Linked DNA regions of Oreochromis niloticus. The protein of the gene in region 1 interacts with the protein of each later gene in a biochemical or structural test. Links are inferred from orthologs where the notes say so. Each region holds a gene or a part of one and is shown in the gene's direction. Other genes may lie near its edges.

Region 1 (8,145 bases):
AAACAGATGCTACATCCAGGTGACACTGACCAACATTTCCACATATTTGAGTTTCTGCAGTCCTTTGTAGTCTTGTGACAAATATCAGAATTTTTAAGTAGATGCTATAGTTTCATTAGAAGCTAGTCGCTAACGTTGTAGTCTCTTGTTGGAGATAGTAAAACGGGTTCATCCGAAATGGACACACAACAAAACTTAAACTTGTTCAGTGCAATTAAGTTTATAGCAGATGATAATTCAGATTTCTCAAGGAAGATGGATCAGTTGAAATAAAAGCTACATTGGCATGTACTGGTGGTTGCACTGCAGGCTAACCTGCTGAACCTTTAAATCAAAAATCTGAACGCTGTATGATGCAATGCTTTGTTTCAATGCATTTTGTTGGCTTTGTGTTCAGCTCTTGGATAACCTTTAGAGTAGAGTTGTACAACTGAAAGTGGAAGACAGTTGTGTGCAGCAGTAGCATTAAACCACCACGTTTCATCTGGGCTTTTTATTCTAGCGCAGGCTTTATATTCATTAAAGACAAAAAGGTTATAATACTGTAAGATATTCACTTGTCACTAAAGTAAAACTACTTTTAACAGTAATCATGCTACTTTTATGAGTTTGACTTTAATTTTTCTGGTTACTGTTTTACACAATATTGACACATTTTGGAATGAAACTCTTATTTTAACAATAAATATGTCCTTCATGACGAAAATAAAGGTCTTTTTTCCTTAAGGTAATTCTTCTGTGTGTGGTTTCTTCTTTCTGTCACAGAAGATGAGTGTGGCTGGGATGTGCAGGTGAGTGCCAAAATGGTCTCATAAATCACTTTGCTGAGATTTCATAACACACTTTCCTATACAAAGATGAGCTGTGCGTTGATGGAACATGACCTGAGGCGTTGGCTGTTAGACTTGCACGCCTGCATGGCATTAACATTCATAATGCTATGCAGAAGTTTTTTGTTTGTTTGTTTTTTTATGAAGAGTATTCTCTTATCCAGACATTCATGATGTTCCCCTTTGACCAAATGAAGAGACTCGAACACAGTTCTCTCTTAAACTCTGTCCATCTACAGCTGAGTTTTTAAATTAAATATTTTGAGGTGCAAGTTGATCTGTTGTGTCTGGCATTTCTCTTTTTGTCTGGTAAATTCCTTCAGCTAGCCAATCACAGCCCAGCCTGAAACAGAACGCTGTATTATTGTGTAATTACAAGGAAATAAAAGGAACGTGCACTGAAATTGTTTTCTGGTGTGTTTCAGCAACCAGTGCCTAAAACAAGCCAAAGAGGTTCTTCACTTTGACCTTTTGACCTCCAACTCTTGTTCTTGGTGGATTAAATCAACCCAGAACATAAGCAGCGTAAAGATAGATAAGCACTGATGCTCATATTCACAACTACAACCACTTATTGTATTCGTTTGGACTGTGGAAGGAAGCCAGAGCACCTAGAAGAAGATCCATAGGGACATGGAGTTGAACATGCATACTGCACACAGAAAAGCCCCATCTGGCTGTTGGATTTGAACCCAGGACCTTCGTGCTCTGAGGTAATGGTGCTAAGCACCACACCACTGTTGCTGCCCTATGCGTATGATGCAATGTAAAAATGTCATTTCATATATGTTTGAAAAAGCAATAATTAAAAAAATGATCCTGCATTGACCTGATGCCCTTATGGCTATTTTTATTCTCCTATCACAGTTAACCCCGTTCTGATACTCAAGAATTTCTATTACTATTGTTTCCATCAAATTTTGCGCAAATGCAAATTATAGTAAGTTTGCTTGTGATTTCTTAGCAATCGACACTAATGAGTAATGAACCCAGTTGCTGTTCCATATCCTCATGACTTTTACCTCTGGCTCTGGTACCTGATGAGTTGTTTGAGATTCTGTCCTCTCAGTGTTCTGAGTGGCAATTAAGTGTTTTTAATATTCTTCGTATCATCTGAAATTTGCCACAGTTCACAATGTTTTTTGCACCTCAGCTTACATAAACAAAGTCATGCTAGCGCATAATGTGCAATCTCATTTGCACAAATGTTTCTTGTAAATTTGCTAATATTTTCCGCAGTGTTAGTAGCAGTTTGTGTAAGCTTCTCTTCCAGGCTTCAGCAAAGTAACATCTTTGTTTGAAGCAGGTGCTCATTTGGTTATTTTGATCTCACTTCGGTGCCACACCCAGTGAACTCAAGGAGGCTAACCAGGTGTTTATTCATAGAATAGCTTTCTAAAAAAAAAAAGCCAAAAAAAAGCATTAGAGTAGTTCAGAATAAATGAAAGCAAGAGGAAAAAACTGAAGTCTACAAAACCTTCATTGGTGCACTCTTTTATCTTAACATTATGCGCCAAAAAAGCATTAGTGCTTCAAGTTTTTAAAGATAATTTTATTTGGTGTCTTGTGTGACTTTATACATCTGCACTTGACTATAGTTGTATTAAACTGGAACCAACACAGTCTTGTATCCCTACATGTTCAAATGTGTCCACTTGAACTCATTTCCACTTGAATTTATTTAAGAATTTTATACACCTGCTTATTGAAATTTTGAGTAAAACAATCAAATTGTCCCTGGTGAGTTTGGTCTAAGGTATTTATTCATTACCATACAGATTTGAGCATTTATGCATTACTTTTAGCCTTTTCAACAATTTAGACTTATGCTTATACTATTTAACTTCTAAATGCAGTTTAAACATTACTGAAATATTTTCTGCTTACAATATATATTTGTCATGGTTCTGGGTCTGTGACCCAGCTTTCTGAGTTTTGCCGTGTTTTGAGTTTTCTGTGAGCTCGTTTTGTTTTGGATTTTGAGATACAGTTTATGTTCTAGCTCTGCATCTAGTCCTTTCAGCATAATGTTTCCTTGTGCTTCTTAGTTTCCCTTTGTTTCCAGTCTGTGTTTCTCATAAGATTATGTCATCTTTTGTTATCATCTTTTGTGTTCCCTTTCTCCTCAGTCAGTCATGTCTCTGCATTTATCTCCTGCCGCTGTGTGAAGTTCACGTGTGTTGGTCTCAGTGTTTGTTGCTTCCTGTTTTATTCTGATAGTCACTCATCTCCTCTAGGTTGTGTTATTTTTGCTTCCCATTGTCTCCTTAGATTCCATTCAGCTGTGTTCCCTGGTGTTTCCTATCTCCATAATTACCTGGTGTGTATGTTGCCTGACTTTCCCTTTGTCTTCTGCCAAACTGTGTGTTTCTTCCTCCTGTGTCTCAAAGTTAGGTTTCTCTCTTTGTTCATTCTTCGTGTTACGATTCTTAGCAATAAAGCTGCTTTTGAGTTTTACATCTGGCTTTCTGAGTCCTGTGTTTGTGTCCAACCCTGCCTGCCACACAGCAATATTTTCTCCGCTATTATGTTCAACTAATAATTTTTCAGTAATGGTTAGGTCTTGTAATAATTCATCAATAGCTTTTGGCCTATAGTTTAATCATTCATCACTTTATCTGCTTCTACTGTGTGGAGATACTATTAGTTATTACTGTTATTAATAGAATTGTTTAATTACGAGAAAATATTCATCCAGTTTTCCCAATTACTCATCAGCTTTAATCATTTCTGCCTCCCTTGTTTATAAATAACTTTCAATGAATTAAAAATGGTTTTAATTTTTATTAATTTGTATTATTTTCTTTCTTACTCCTTAAGTTCATTCGTGTTGCTATCACAAACAAATGCTCACCATTTTTGTTTGTAATAGTTTATTTGCACTACAATCATCAATAAACAATTGAAATTAAGTTCCTGGAGATAGAGTAGATAAAGGCTGACTTGTTTGTCCCAATTCAACAAAAGTTTGGCTATGACAGCGTCAACTTCTGGGTTTTCTCATAAAGTCCTACAGTATAACTGATCCAGTGTCATAGCAAAGTATTGAAATTAAATTACAGAATAATTACAGAATAAAGATAGTAAATGAATAGCCCAGAGTTAATAAGAAATAAGGTGCTTCTCAAAATAAACAGCAAAGAGGAGTTCCTCTTCCGTTAACTGAGATAAGCTTTCACACTGAGGAAGGCAAGAGCTGACATCTCTGTGCATGTCGCTCTAAACCTAAAAGCAAATGAGAGCTTTGAAAAATGTGAAAACAACTTCATCATCGTGCCAACCCGTTTCTTTTATTGACACGCCAATCAGACGCACCTAAAATGTGTTTCTCTCGCAGTCCCTCTGGCTGAAAACAGCAGGGTGCCAGCTGGCGTCTCTCCACGATGAGCTGACACAAGAATGTAAACAGACCAGAGTGGCCAGCACGACTTCACAACCTGATGAAGCTGACACCTTGAAAAACTGGGTTCACTAACCAAAATATAAATGTGATCTTATGAAGCAGCTGATGACAGGCGTGATTTTAGATGTGCTGAAATAGCTGAACTATATATTTCTTTCTTCCCTCTATCCATTATAACCGCTTGGATTTTTTCCCCCGTAGGCTAAGGTATGGCAAGTGTCCACACCTTGCCAGGTTCAATTAACTCCCACGTTTCACTGAACAAAACACTTATTATACTCTGCTGTGATCCCTAAATAAGAAATTCCATGCCGGCTACAAACACCCTTTCAGTCTGAGATCACGTCAGTCTCTCCTCCAGCCGAGCAGGTTCCAGGGTGGCTCTCCTGTCTGCTCACTGGTGACTACCCAGCTGCGCTCTGCGGTATCCGAGGAAACACTGGAGGTTTCCCCGTACGCGCTTGTGCATTGAATTTTAGTCACGTCCAACAAAAAGGGCAGGAATAACTTCACTATACAGGACTCTGAGAGAAAAGACCCCGTCCTCCCAGTTTGCATCCACGCCTCCCTCTCTGCTTCCTATATTATCTTTTTTTTTGTCTGTTTCAACGTGCTAATCTCTCCAAACGTGAGGACAGCATGACAGGAGGACTGAAGGACGGCGAGACAGAAGAGGTACAGTATAGCTCTCAGCTATAGTTCTTTTAATTTTTGGTTGTTTGTTTGTAGCTGACATTTACTTTTCTTCCAGGAGCTGATTACCCCCCCTCAAAAAAAAAAAAAAAAAAAAAAAAAAAAAAAAAATGCGTTCACGAGGGAAAAATGAATGCGCTATGTTTCAGTCCTTATCTTGCGCTCTGGCACCCAGTCATGAGCACTTCTCCCACACAGGCTAAGAGAATGACAAGGTCGATGCAGTTTACATTAGAATGTGGGTGTGAGGATTTTACCTGCTAAGTCCTCTTTCAGCACAGTAACCGATTATTTACGCACAAACATTTAAAGTGTACATTTCAATGCGTTTAAAAAAGGAGGAAACAAATCCAGTTTTTACCGTAAAATTCTGAATTTCAGTCACAAATCTTCCCTGTCCTTTAATACCAACTGAGATCGTGTGGTGTGCGTAATAATATAAGGTGCTTGCCTCGTAGGATTGAGGAGGATCATAAGCGCTAAAGGGGTCTTTACGTATTTTTAAAGGATAAAAACACAAGTCCAGTAAGTTATTGCATACTTAATGTGAACATATTACAAATGACATTGCAAATATAACTGAATTCGTGATTTTTCTTTTACTTTCTAAATATATATTTTTGGTGTAGGAAGAGTATTAATTGGAAATTCTTTCATATTTAAAAATAACGCCTTTGCACCTTTCTTAAAAGTGTTTCATTGTCATGGGTAGACTACACGTTGAATCAACTGTATGTCATGTTAACATACTGGATTAGTGTCTGGGTGGTGAGGACCCCTTGCGGCTGGATGAAGGGGTGTGGTACTTTACTTTCTATTCACTTAAACCCATCCCTGTTTGTGGGGAAGCCTGGTAACTTGCAGCTCCAGTCGCTCTCTCTCTCAGCGCGCTACACACTATTCCTTCTCCTCTTCACCCTCTTCTCCTTCTGTCTCCCCCGGATCCTTGCAGGAGTTTCTGCATTCGCCGTTTATCCGAAAACAAGGGAACATATATAAACCCAACAACAAAGACATGGACAACGACAGTCTCAACGAGAAAACGATGGAGGATGTCCACACCAAAGAGATCGACCTGGTCAACCGGGATCCCAAACACATAAACGACGACGTTGTTAAGGTGAGTTAAACCTCAAAATTGGTAACTTGTGAGATTCATGTTTTTTCGTCCATGGCAACCGAAACCACCTGTTGCCGAGTTTACACAGGGCTTAGCTGTATGACAGGCGCTGTAAACTGAAATAATCTCTGATAAACGATGTCCATTTTATTTCTATGAGCTGTCAAACAGGTTATCTGCGCGTCGGACACGCATGCAGTTCTTTTGCGCACCTTTGCTATGCTCCGTGCAAGTGTTACCACTCAGTGTCTTCCCCTATTAGGAAGAAGCTTTGCAAACGTATTAAAGATCATTGAGCGGCGGCGATACAATGGCATGCAGTGCCCTTCTGCACATTTGTTTGTGGAGTGGGTTTGAAACGTGAACGTCCCAACTTCGCTCCAACAGAGGAAACATAACCAATTTCCTGTTGTTGGAACACACATTTCCCACAGTCCTCCCTGCACACGCCTGTCTAATGGGAAAGTAGAATTCTGTACATAACAGAGAAGCCTGGTCGGATAAATACTCAGTATTTATTTTTGTTAAAAGGATTTAGCACAGGGAGAGATGTTATAGCGGCAAAGGAGTGGTGCGCTGCAAGCCACCTGACTCATCTGTGTGGGAGAGAGGAGCTGCAGCCGTGTGCGCCCGGCGGTGCTCCTCTCCAGCTGGTGCATCTGGTTACATCAGAGTGGGGTCAAGCAGCTCCCTGCGTGTTCAGGAAGGGTCAGATCTTTGAAATGCCTGAACTCTGCTTTGTTAAAACAGGGAAACACCCAAGTGGGCGATTAGTCTGAGGGGATCCCTCACCACTCCTTATCCTCCCTTCTTTCCTCCCATTCTGCCACTGCCCCCTCCGTTTCCTCCCCGCATGCCTGTAGTTGCGTCAGAGAAGTGAGTCCATTTGTTTCTTTTTCTTGGCGAATACAAGGTTTTCAGTAGAAATGAGTGCCCATCGCTGCTGAATTAACTAATCAGACCATAACTACTGAACATAACCTTTCTCTTTAAAAAAATACATACATGTGGTAAAGTTTCATCCCCTGCCAAATTGACTGATGAAAACATACTGACAGAGCATTTTGATTAAAACAACTATAATGCACATATACAAGGAATGCATTAAAAATGTTGTGCTCATTTAATTTTCTGTTATTACATGACACTCATTTCACATACAACCTGCCCAAAAAAGTACATTTTGTCTTCCATTTCTCGTTAAATATTTGAAAACACTTCGTTTTTATGGAATTTATCACTGTCTGAGAGGCATGTGTGTCACTGCCAGTTTGTGCATTTTTCCCATATGACGCACAAGTCTACATAAAATGTGCTATGAACATGATGAATTTCCATTTTTGTACGAGAAAGGAAGCTTTTTCAAAATATTTGTTGCTGGGTTTGGAAAGAAAAAGTCTCTTATTCTCTAGTTTTTCTGGTTGCTGCTTCTATCCCAACGTCTTCCACCACTCTCTGGCTGCTCTCTCCCTGCTCTCCTCCATTGTGACAGTGAGTCAGACTCTCCTTCCAGTCTCAGAATAGAATGCAGCTTCACGATTGTCCCACCCCTCGCTAATCAAGCCAACAGACTGCTGCTGAAATGACCTGACAACACATGTGCGTACACTGTAAAAATGAACATGCTATAGGCAGCATTTAACGTGAGAAGCCTGAAACCTTCAGCTTTTAACAAGCGGTAGTAAACATCTATTTACAGTTTCTTTTGCATTTTAGTTGCTTTATATTGCCCAGGAAAAAACTCTTTGATTTAATTTGTTAATTGAATTAACATCTACAGAAAAATGAAAAAACTAAAACAAAATCAAACCACGAAACCATGTGAAATTAGCTGCACCTCAATCAGTGGTAACTTTAAATTGCTACTTACATATTCATGGATTAATAATGCTAAAAGATAACAAAACAATAACAAAGTAACACTAGTAGTAATACTTGGTAGTTTTACCTTTTTACCTTGTCTTCTTGCGACTTAGAGACAGTATCAGAATCCTTCTTTGTAATAGATTATACAATAAAAAAACTTTTATATTGAGTTAATAAATCCCAACAGAGAAGCCTCTGGGTATACTTTATAATGAGAGGCCCTTAGGTACTCA
Region 2 (7,654 bases), on another chromosome or scaffold:
GATTACATTCCAACAATATGAAGTAAAAGCATGGTAATATGTTACTGTAAGGAAAAAATTATATAAGCACTTACGCAGGTCGCCCAGCGCTCCCTTGGTGACGTTCTGAGCTCGAACTACAGTCACTGTGAATTTGTGAGAAAACTGCTGCTCCACCTGCAATTTGGACATTCAGAGTTCAGCCTCACTTCATTGCTTCATGAGAAAAAAATCACATCAACCATGTTGAGAGCAAAAAATGAACACATCCAGAACATGAGAACATCTGGGTTTTTTGGCAGGTCGACACAGAGTGCCATTCCCCTGTGAAACTCTCCAGTTAAGGATACGCTTCCCAGCTGTGTTCACACTGTGCTACGACAGCTTTCTCCTTATATTTTGACAGTACTGCAAAATTTGTAGCCCTTTCCCAAATACTGTGACTCTAATAAATACTGTAGATGAGCATTTAATGGGACCGTACTGTAAACCCTTTATATATTTTACAGCAACCCTTTCACCTCAGTTACCCTTGTGCTACATTGTCGTATCCCTGAAAGTTTGGTAGCACACTGAAATGAAAGTTAAAGTATTGGACACTGTTCAAATACGACTACTTGAAGGTCCCAACAGTGTTCCCTTTGTCATTTCTAGATATTAGATCTCTCCAATCTCACAGAACAGATGTTGTTTTGAATTTCTGCGTGTTGCAGTGCAGTTTGATATTGTGACTATTTAAGATTCCTCTTTCTGGCAGCCTTTTACACACTCTTAAATTATTTTTAAAAACCCAAAAGACGAATAGTTTCAACGACGATTTGCAGATCTGTAAAACAGGAAGTGCTGTGAGACTTTTTTGCAGCTCCCCTCTCGCCCCTTCTTGTTAAAAGGCCGCTTGTTCAGTTTTTCCTCTACAACGCTGTGAGCTTAATTATTTTATGATTTATGATTATGGTACTAAATAAATGAAATTTAACTGGAATTACGTGATAAAAACTCAGACGTCACACTGATCAAACAATATGCATATTTTTCTTTTAAAACAACCCTTTCAACCTTGACTTCCACCAACATGGAAATGAAAATGGCCTTGACGTTGACACGCTCATTGTTGCGCTTACACCCAAGGCTGTGGCTTGCGATAAGAGGGAATTTTTTTAATACCAGTAAACTAAGAACTTCCACAGAATTATTTGTGTCACGGTTGATGCCAAAGAAACCGTCCACTTTTGTTTTGGCCTCAGTTTTATTTACAGTCATGTAAACACACACTGTGTCGACACTCACAATTATATTGGAAGCCATTGTCATGTGAGGTGAGCAACTCGCAGGGAAGCCTTCGTCAAGATGTGAACTTTAGGTCAAGAGAACATATCTGTCACAAACTGCAGCACCGAGAGCCTGAAATATGAAACAAAGAAGTGCAAACAAAGGGTTAGAGTTTGAACGGGCTGAAAAAAGAATATTATGTTACTATTAAAACTGTGATGCAAACGACAACAAAATACTAACATCATTACCGCGATTTACAGCTTTAGTTTTAGCCAGAGTTGCAGCAAATGGACATATTACAATATCTCTTGAAAGGATGCCTTTCCTAAACAAAACACTTTTTTTATAGTGCATTGGAATTTTTAAAAATAAGTCGCTTCGCAAATACCAGTGAAGTCTTTTACATCTTGGCAGGGGTAAAAGGAAGTGTGCTGAGCCACAAAATCCCGATAAGAGGACTGGGCCAATAGAAATGGGGTGTGTGTGTGTGTGTGTGTGTGTGTGTGTGTGTGTGTTCACCACAAGCATGTGTTAAGAGAGCGAGAGAAAATATGCCAGTAAAGGGAGGAGGGTCTTCCCTGAATAAATGCAACATGCTGGACGACAAAATGTAAAGCTTAGTGCGCATTTGCAGAATAGGTGGCAAGGTGGCTATTTTTAGCAACGCGAACGCCTTCTCTTTGTGATGTCTGAACACCATATCGTGATAAGAAATTTGCATAGATATGTGTATGTCTATGTGTGTGAGTGCGAGTGTAAAAGTGATAGCATATGAAGGTCACCAGCCTTTTCTCTGCTGCTCACCAAAGTGTGTAATTACTGAGAGGACTGAGAGCACGTAGAGCGTCTGTGTGTTCACAGAAGCGGTCACGTACTTTGCATCAGTGGTCCAACTTCGGACGGTGCCAGTTCACTCTGCCCTTGTTCCGCTGCTGCATACAATGGGCGCATGCAGGCTACAGAGCCCTGCAAGTGTGCCAGCTTCAGCAAAGCGCCGCGTGGCAGCAAATTTTCATATGAGGATGCAGAACGCGAAAGAGACTTGCAGCGACGGTCTATAATGCAAAACAGCTGCCGCAGCTGTGGCTTTCACCGGAGCACAGTCAGGCTCCTCCTGGGCGAGTGTGCTCCCACCTGAGCCACACAAGGAGCAGGTCGGAAGACTCACTTCAGTGAATCACTGTGCGTGTCTCCAGAGAAAGATTACGCCGAGGAGTCATTGCAATTTAATTCTTATACGGATTAGAGGCTTCACGCAAAACTTAGCATTAGGCACTGCTAAGAGGCTTTACATTATTCTTATTAGCCCGGCAGATTAAGGGCAGATCAAACAAGGATTGATGATGTTATGAGTGCGCTACATGCGATGCTGAGTAATGTTAGTCCTTCTAAGGCAGTAAAGATGTGGTGGATACTATGAATTTGCATTTATATAAACATGACACATGATATAAAATATCTATGAAGGTAGAATAAACATAATAATAATTCGCAAAAGTTCCGTTTTATTCAGTTTTACTTGTGTATCCCTGCAGTGATCGGTCCTATTTAAACTGGCCTGTGAGTTTCCTTGTCTTCGGCGTCGCGTAAAATTTAAGCCTTGGCTGTTTAACCCATTAGGAGCAAAGGCGCAGACCTCCTCCTTTAAACTGCGCCCAAACCCGTTTGAAAAAACACATCAATGTGCCTAAAAAGGAAAGGAAATATCCACGTACCTTAACAGGCGCATGCTATCAACTCACAAATCCAGAAAAATGTCTCATGTCGATAACACCAATAGCTCGGGAGGTGGAGAGGAGGCGCTACCGTACCCGGCAGTGAGCAGTATCGTAGCTTATTACGTTTGCATCGAGAGAAAAAAACAAAACTACCGGAAGACAATAAAAATATAGCGGGGTTTAAATGCTGGTTTTAAAAAAAGATGGTCAAGATTCTTTTAATAGGAAATTTCCGAGTAGCAGTCAGACTGACTCCGATTTTGAGACTTGATCCAAATATGCACGATCATCAACCGCAAGGTGGCATCTGTGGTTGAAAAAGTTTCTGAATGAAATGAACGTTTAAACGGAGGTGCCATGCGACTTTTTACTGGTTTAGGTGATGATTCATTTAATTCAGTGAAATTCAATGAAAAAAAAAAGAGTTTTATATGTTCACTTTTATTAAACATCTCCGGGAAAGATTCTCAAACTTGTATTTTTTTTAATATCAATCAAAGAGTACTCGAGTATTTTTACTTATCATTTCTCCATGTTTGTTCATACGATTTGTAGAGGCTAAAGATATCAAAAAAACCCCAAGCGTGTCGTGGTAATACGTTATATAAACCAGTAAATATTATTAGACTTTAATTAAAATCACAGCGTGGCGTTTTAATGGCGACAAAAAAACCCCAAAAGACGCATACAATTAGTTAATTTACCTGCTGTAGCACTGAAGGAGTGAGGATAGAAAATAAATATTCCGTAGATAAGAAAACTTGTTTCTTCCAAAAATGATTTCCGGTATTTCCTCAAAAAAAATAAAAAATAAAAAAATAAATAAAGTAAAATAAAAGGATTGCCTACATTTAAACTGTTGTAAGTTACTTGTTGTCCTATAACAGACGTCAAACTTAACTCTCTTGAAAGATATAAAGTTATTTTGACGCAAAAAGGAATGTTCTGCATTCACTTTTTAGCAAAGTGGTTTTTATATATCCGTCTTTGATCCGGCTAAAAGTCTCATTGTCATTAAAAATGTCTTTTAAAGAGTGATGTGGCCAAGAGTGCATCAGAAATTACAACACGTATCACATATTGGTTCTATAAAGATATTTTAAGTGGACAAAAAGGAATGAAACGATTATAGTGTGGGTACAGTAACCCAGAGTCATAAAGACACTCGCAAAACAGGTGATTTATGTATTTTATATACAGCCCCTTCATAAACCCTGCTCACTAATATAAGCAAACACATTAATATAATAAAATAAACCAAAAAATCACTTTTGTCACAGTTTGTGGGTGGGGTGGTAGGAGGAGCACCGTGTTATAAAAGCCTCATCCTGGCTGTGGACATTCAAAATTTCACCATCGTCGCGCGCGAGTGGGAGAGCAGACATGAAACAAAAGCGGAGTCTTCGGAGCATGAACAAACTCACTTTGCTGTTTTTCCTGTTGGCCCTGTGCTTTCTTGTCGGCGAAACTGGTAAGCTGAGGAAACTGCAGATTATTTCTTACAGTTTTTCCATTTTATTTTATTGATACAGCCCAAATCACAGCAACAGTTTAGAAGTCGTGATTTCTTTCTATTAGTATTATTGTCATGCCAAATAAGATCTTCTTCTTATTCTTCTTGAGAACTGAATAATTATTTTTTTATTAAACAGATAGTAAGTGTCCAACCTTATCTGTTACAGTTAACCCATGTTGCTCAGAGCCATGCCAGAACAGGGGTGTCTGCTCACCACTGGGCTCAGAAGAATACGAGTGTGACTGCACACGCACGGGGTACTATGGGCAAAACTGCACAACACGTAAGTGTGAACATCGCGCTTGGAGTGAAACAAAAATGAAGGTGCATTTCTGGTGGTGACTTGATGGCTTGATTCACGTGCTCTCTTTGTCCCTTACAGCTGAATTCTTCACCTGGATCAAAGTGTCTCTGAAGCCAACACCCAACACAGTCCACTACATCCTGACCCACTTCAAGGGTTTCTGGAACATCGTCAACAGCATCTCATTCCTCAGGGATGTCATCATGAGATATGTGCTGACATGTAAGTCTCTCTCTGCCCGAAGGCAAAAATGAAAAAAGTGGACTGGAAAGTTTTTCACAGTACATTAAACAATTTACGCAGCAACTTGTTGTAGTGTTTATACTAAATGAAGGACTAATATGGGTTTTCCTTTCTCTAGCCCGATCCCACTTGATTGACAGTCCTCCAACTTATAATGCTGATTACGGCTATAAGAGCTGGGAAGCCTACTCCAACCTTTCCTACTATACACGCTCCCTCCCCCCTGTGCCGCAGGATTGCCCAACCCCTATGGGAGTAGTAGGTGAGTACACTGTCTACCTTTGGAAAACCAGTTTTCTGAGATTCTTAAGATACTGAACAAAACCGTCTTTGTCGAATTACATCATAGGAAGCGCGCAAATTGGAATTAGTTTTCCTCTTAGATGAGGCAACACAGAAAAACCTCCCCCTACAAGCCCAAACCAAAGAGATCAAGTTATTTTTTGCGTCAGAAGTATGAAACAGACCCAAAGAGCTGTGATTTTCCTATCATTGTGTTATGTGCTCAGTGAAGTCTTCTTATTCTTCCAGGCAAAAAGGAGCTACCTGATGTTAAAGTTCTGGCTGAGAAGCTCTTAATGAGGAGACAGTTTATACCAGACCCGCAGGGCACCAGTTTGATGTTTGCCTTCTTCGCACAGCACTTCACCCACCAGTTCTTCAAATCTGACATGAAGAGAGGGCCTGCTTTCACTGTTGCTAAGGGTCATGGGGTAAGTGGAGCGGGTCTGAAGATCTCGGTTTTTGAAAAGCAAACTCATTTTAATGCGACGCAGTTTTTAATTGGCGTGTCTTACACTTTCAGGTGGACCTCAACCACATCTACGGTGACAACCTGGAGAAGCAGCACAAGCTGAGACTCTTTAAGGATGGCAAGCTGAAATATCAGGTATGGGGGAAAAAGATAGCTGTACTCGAGGCGTCAAAGAGACCAGCTCACGTGCGTTTCTCACAGCGGTTTCCTCTTTTGTGTAACCCTGCAGATGCTTGATGGAGAGATGTACCCCCCGACAGTTAAGGAAGTGGGTGTCGAGATGCATTACCCCCCTCACGTCCCAGATTCTCACCGCTTCGCTGTCGGCCACGAGGCATTCGGCCTGGTCCCTGGTCTGATGATGTACGCCACCATCTGGCTCCGCGAACACAACCGTGTGTGCGATGTGCTGAAAGAGGTCCACCCATACTGGGATGACGAAAGACTCTTCCAGACCGCACGGCTCATCCTAATCGGTAAGTTAAAAGAAGTCCAGATACCAGCTGTAACGTAGTTGGAAATTTTTTATTAAAAAGCTAATAATAATATCGTTAGCAGGGGATTTTTCTTTAAAAAAAGGAAGTTTTACTTCTTAGTTTTCACCTCCTAATGACCCTGTTGCACACAGTGGAGCATTTCATTTCAGGAACCTGATTTACTGAAAGACTTGAGAATTTCTTGTCAACATCAGAAAGAGGAAATGTGTTTTACTATCCACTTTGTGCTTACCCAACCTACAGACATGCAAATCAATCAATCAATAAGCACGATTTATTTTAAAGCACAGAGTGGCTTTTAGCATTTAGAGTGTCTTCATTGTATAAACCGTCACATTTCTCATCTGGCAGGTGAGACCATCAAAATCGTGATTGAGGACTACGTGCAGCATCTCAGTGGCTATCACTTCAAACTGAAGTTTGACCCTGAGCTGCTCTTTAACCAGCGCTTCCAGTACCAGAACCGCATTGCATCCGAGTTCAACACCCTTTATCACTGGCACCCTCTGATGCCTGATAGTTTCCACATTGAGGAGACAGATTACAGCTACAAGCAGTTTGTCTTCAACACCTCTGTCGTGACTGAGCACGGCATCAGCAACCTGGTGGAGTCGTTCACCAATCAGATTGCCGGACGGGTAAGAACTCTTTAAGCTCCCGCAGCAGCAGTTAGACTGAAACATACAAGACCAGCGTTGCTTTAGGGATGCAGAATTGAAATTTCATTTGTGCTTCTTTGTAATTTAGGTTGCTGGTGGTCGAAATGTCCCCGGACCCATCTTGTATGTGGCCATTAAGTCCATAGAGAACAGCAGACAAATGCGTTACCAGTCCCTTAACGCCTACAGGAAACGATTCTCCATGAAGCCCTACACGTCTTTCGAAGACCTGACAGGTGAGACAAATTCAGCACTTCTTGAAAATACCTGTATGCTGAAAATGTGTCAAAAACAGGTTGTTGTAATTGCTGTCTCAGGCCTAGCTATTGCTAGATTAATATCTTTGCAGCGCGATGATTCTTATTATCATAAAGTGTGACTGAAAAACCCGTAGGCTGCAGAATACAGTTTATGCAATAGTTTACCTGATATTGAGGAAATGCCTCAGAGTCCCTAAGCAGTTGCTGGCAGTTTTGAAGGTTAGGTATTTATTTCCATGACTCTGAAAACCAGATGGTCATTTCATCTTAAGGTAGAGTAAGCAGACTGTCATCACTGCAGGCGAGATATAAACAGACACGGGGAGTCCCTCTACTTTAAAGAGGAAGATTTAAACTTTTCAAGAGGTGAATGTCGATTGAAAACTAACTTTGACTTGCTGTATAAGTGAAGAAAAAAATGGCTTGCATGCCAGTGGAAAGATAAAAATCAG

Evidence for each region.
Region 2: the proteins of cav1 (region 1) and ptgs2b form a complex in vitro, tested with the Homo sapiens proteins (2 studies listed by BioGRID). The link is inferred for Oreochromis niloticus from reciprocal best matches to the Homo sapiens genes CAV1 and PTGS2.

What each region holds. Positions count from the first base shown.
Region 1 is NC_031972.2:41,353,481-41,361,625, reverse strand, and holds the start of cav1 (caveolin-1), read left to right. Parts: upstream 1-4,582; 5' UTR 4,583-4,872; coding exon 4,873-4,908; intron 4,909-5,878; coding exon 5,879-6,046; intron 6,047-8,145. UniProt on the Homo sapiens protein: May act as a scaffolding protein within caveolar membranes. Forms a stable heterooligomeric complex with CAV2 that targets to lipid rafts and drives caveolae formation. Mediates the recruitment of CAVIN proteins (CAVIN1/2/3/4) to the caveolae.
Region 2 is NC_031981.2:2,446,794-2,454,447, reverse strand, and holds the start of ptgs2b (prostaglandin G/H synthase 2), read left to right. Parts: upstream 1-4,291; 5' UTR 4,292-4,352; coding exon 4,353-4,440; intron 4,441-4,651; coding exon 4,652-4,768; intron 4,769-4,867; coding exon 4,868-5,011; intron 5,012-5,150; coding exon 5,151-5,294; intron 5,295-5,563; coding exon 5,564-5,745; intron 5,746-5,837; coding exon 5,838-5,921; intron 5,922-6,015; coding exon 6,016-6,262; intron 6,263-6,634; coding exon 6,635-6,921; intron 6,922-7,030; coding exon 7,031-7,178; intron 7,179-7,654. Other genes in the region: pla2g4ab (cytosolic phospholipase A2), read right to left, coding at 75-156, 1,267-1,290. UniProt on the Homo sapiens protein: Dual cyclooxygenase and peroxidase in the biosynthesis pathway of prostanoids, a class of C20 oxylipins mainly derived from arachidonate ((5Z,8Z,11Z,14Z)-eicosatetraenoate, AA, C20:4(n-6)), with a particular role in the inflammatory response.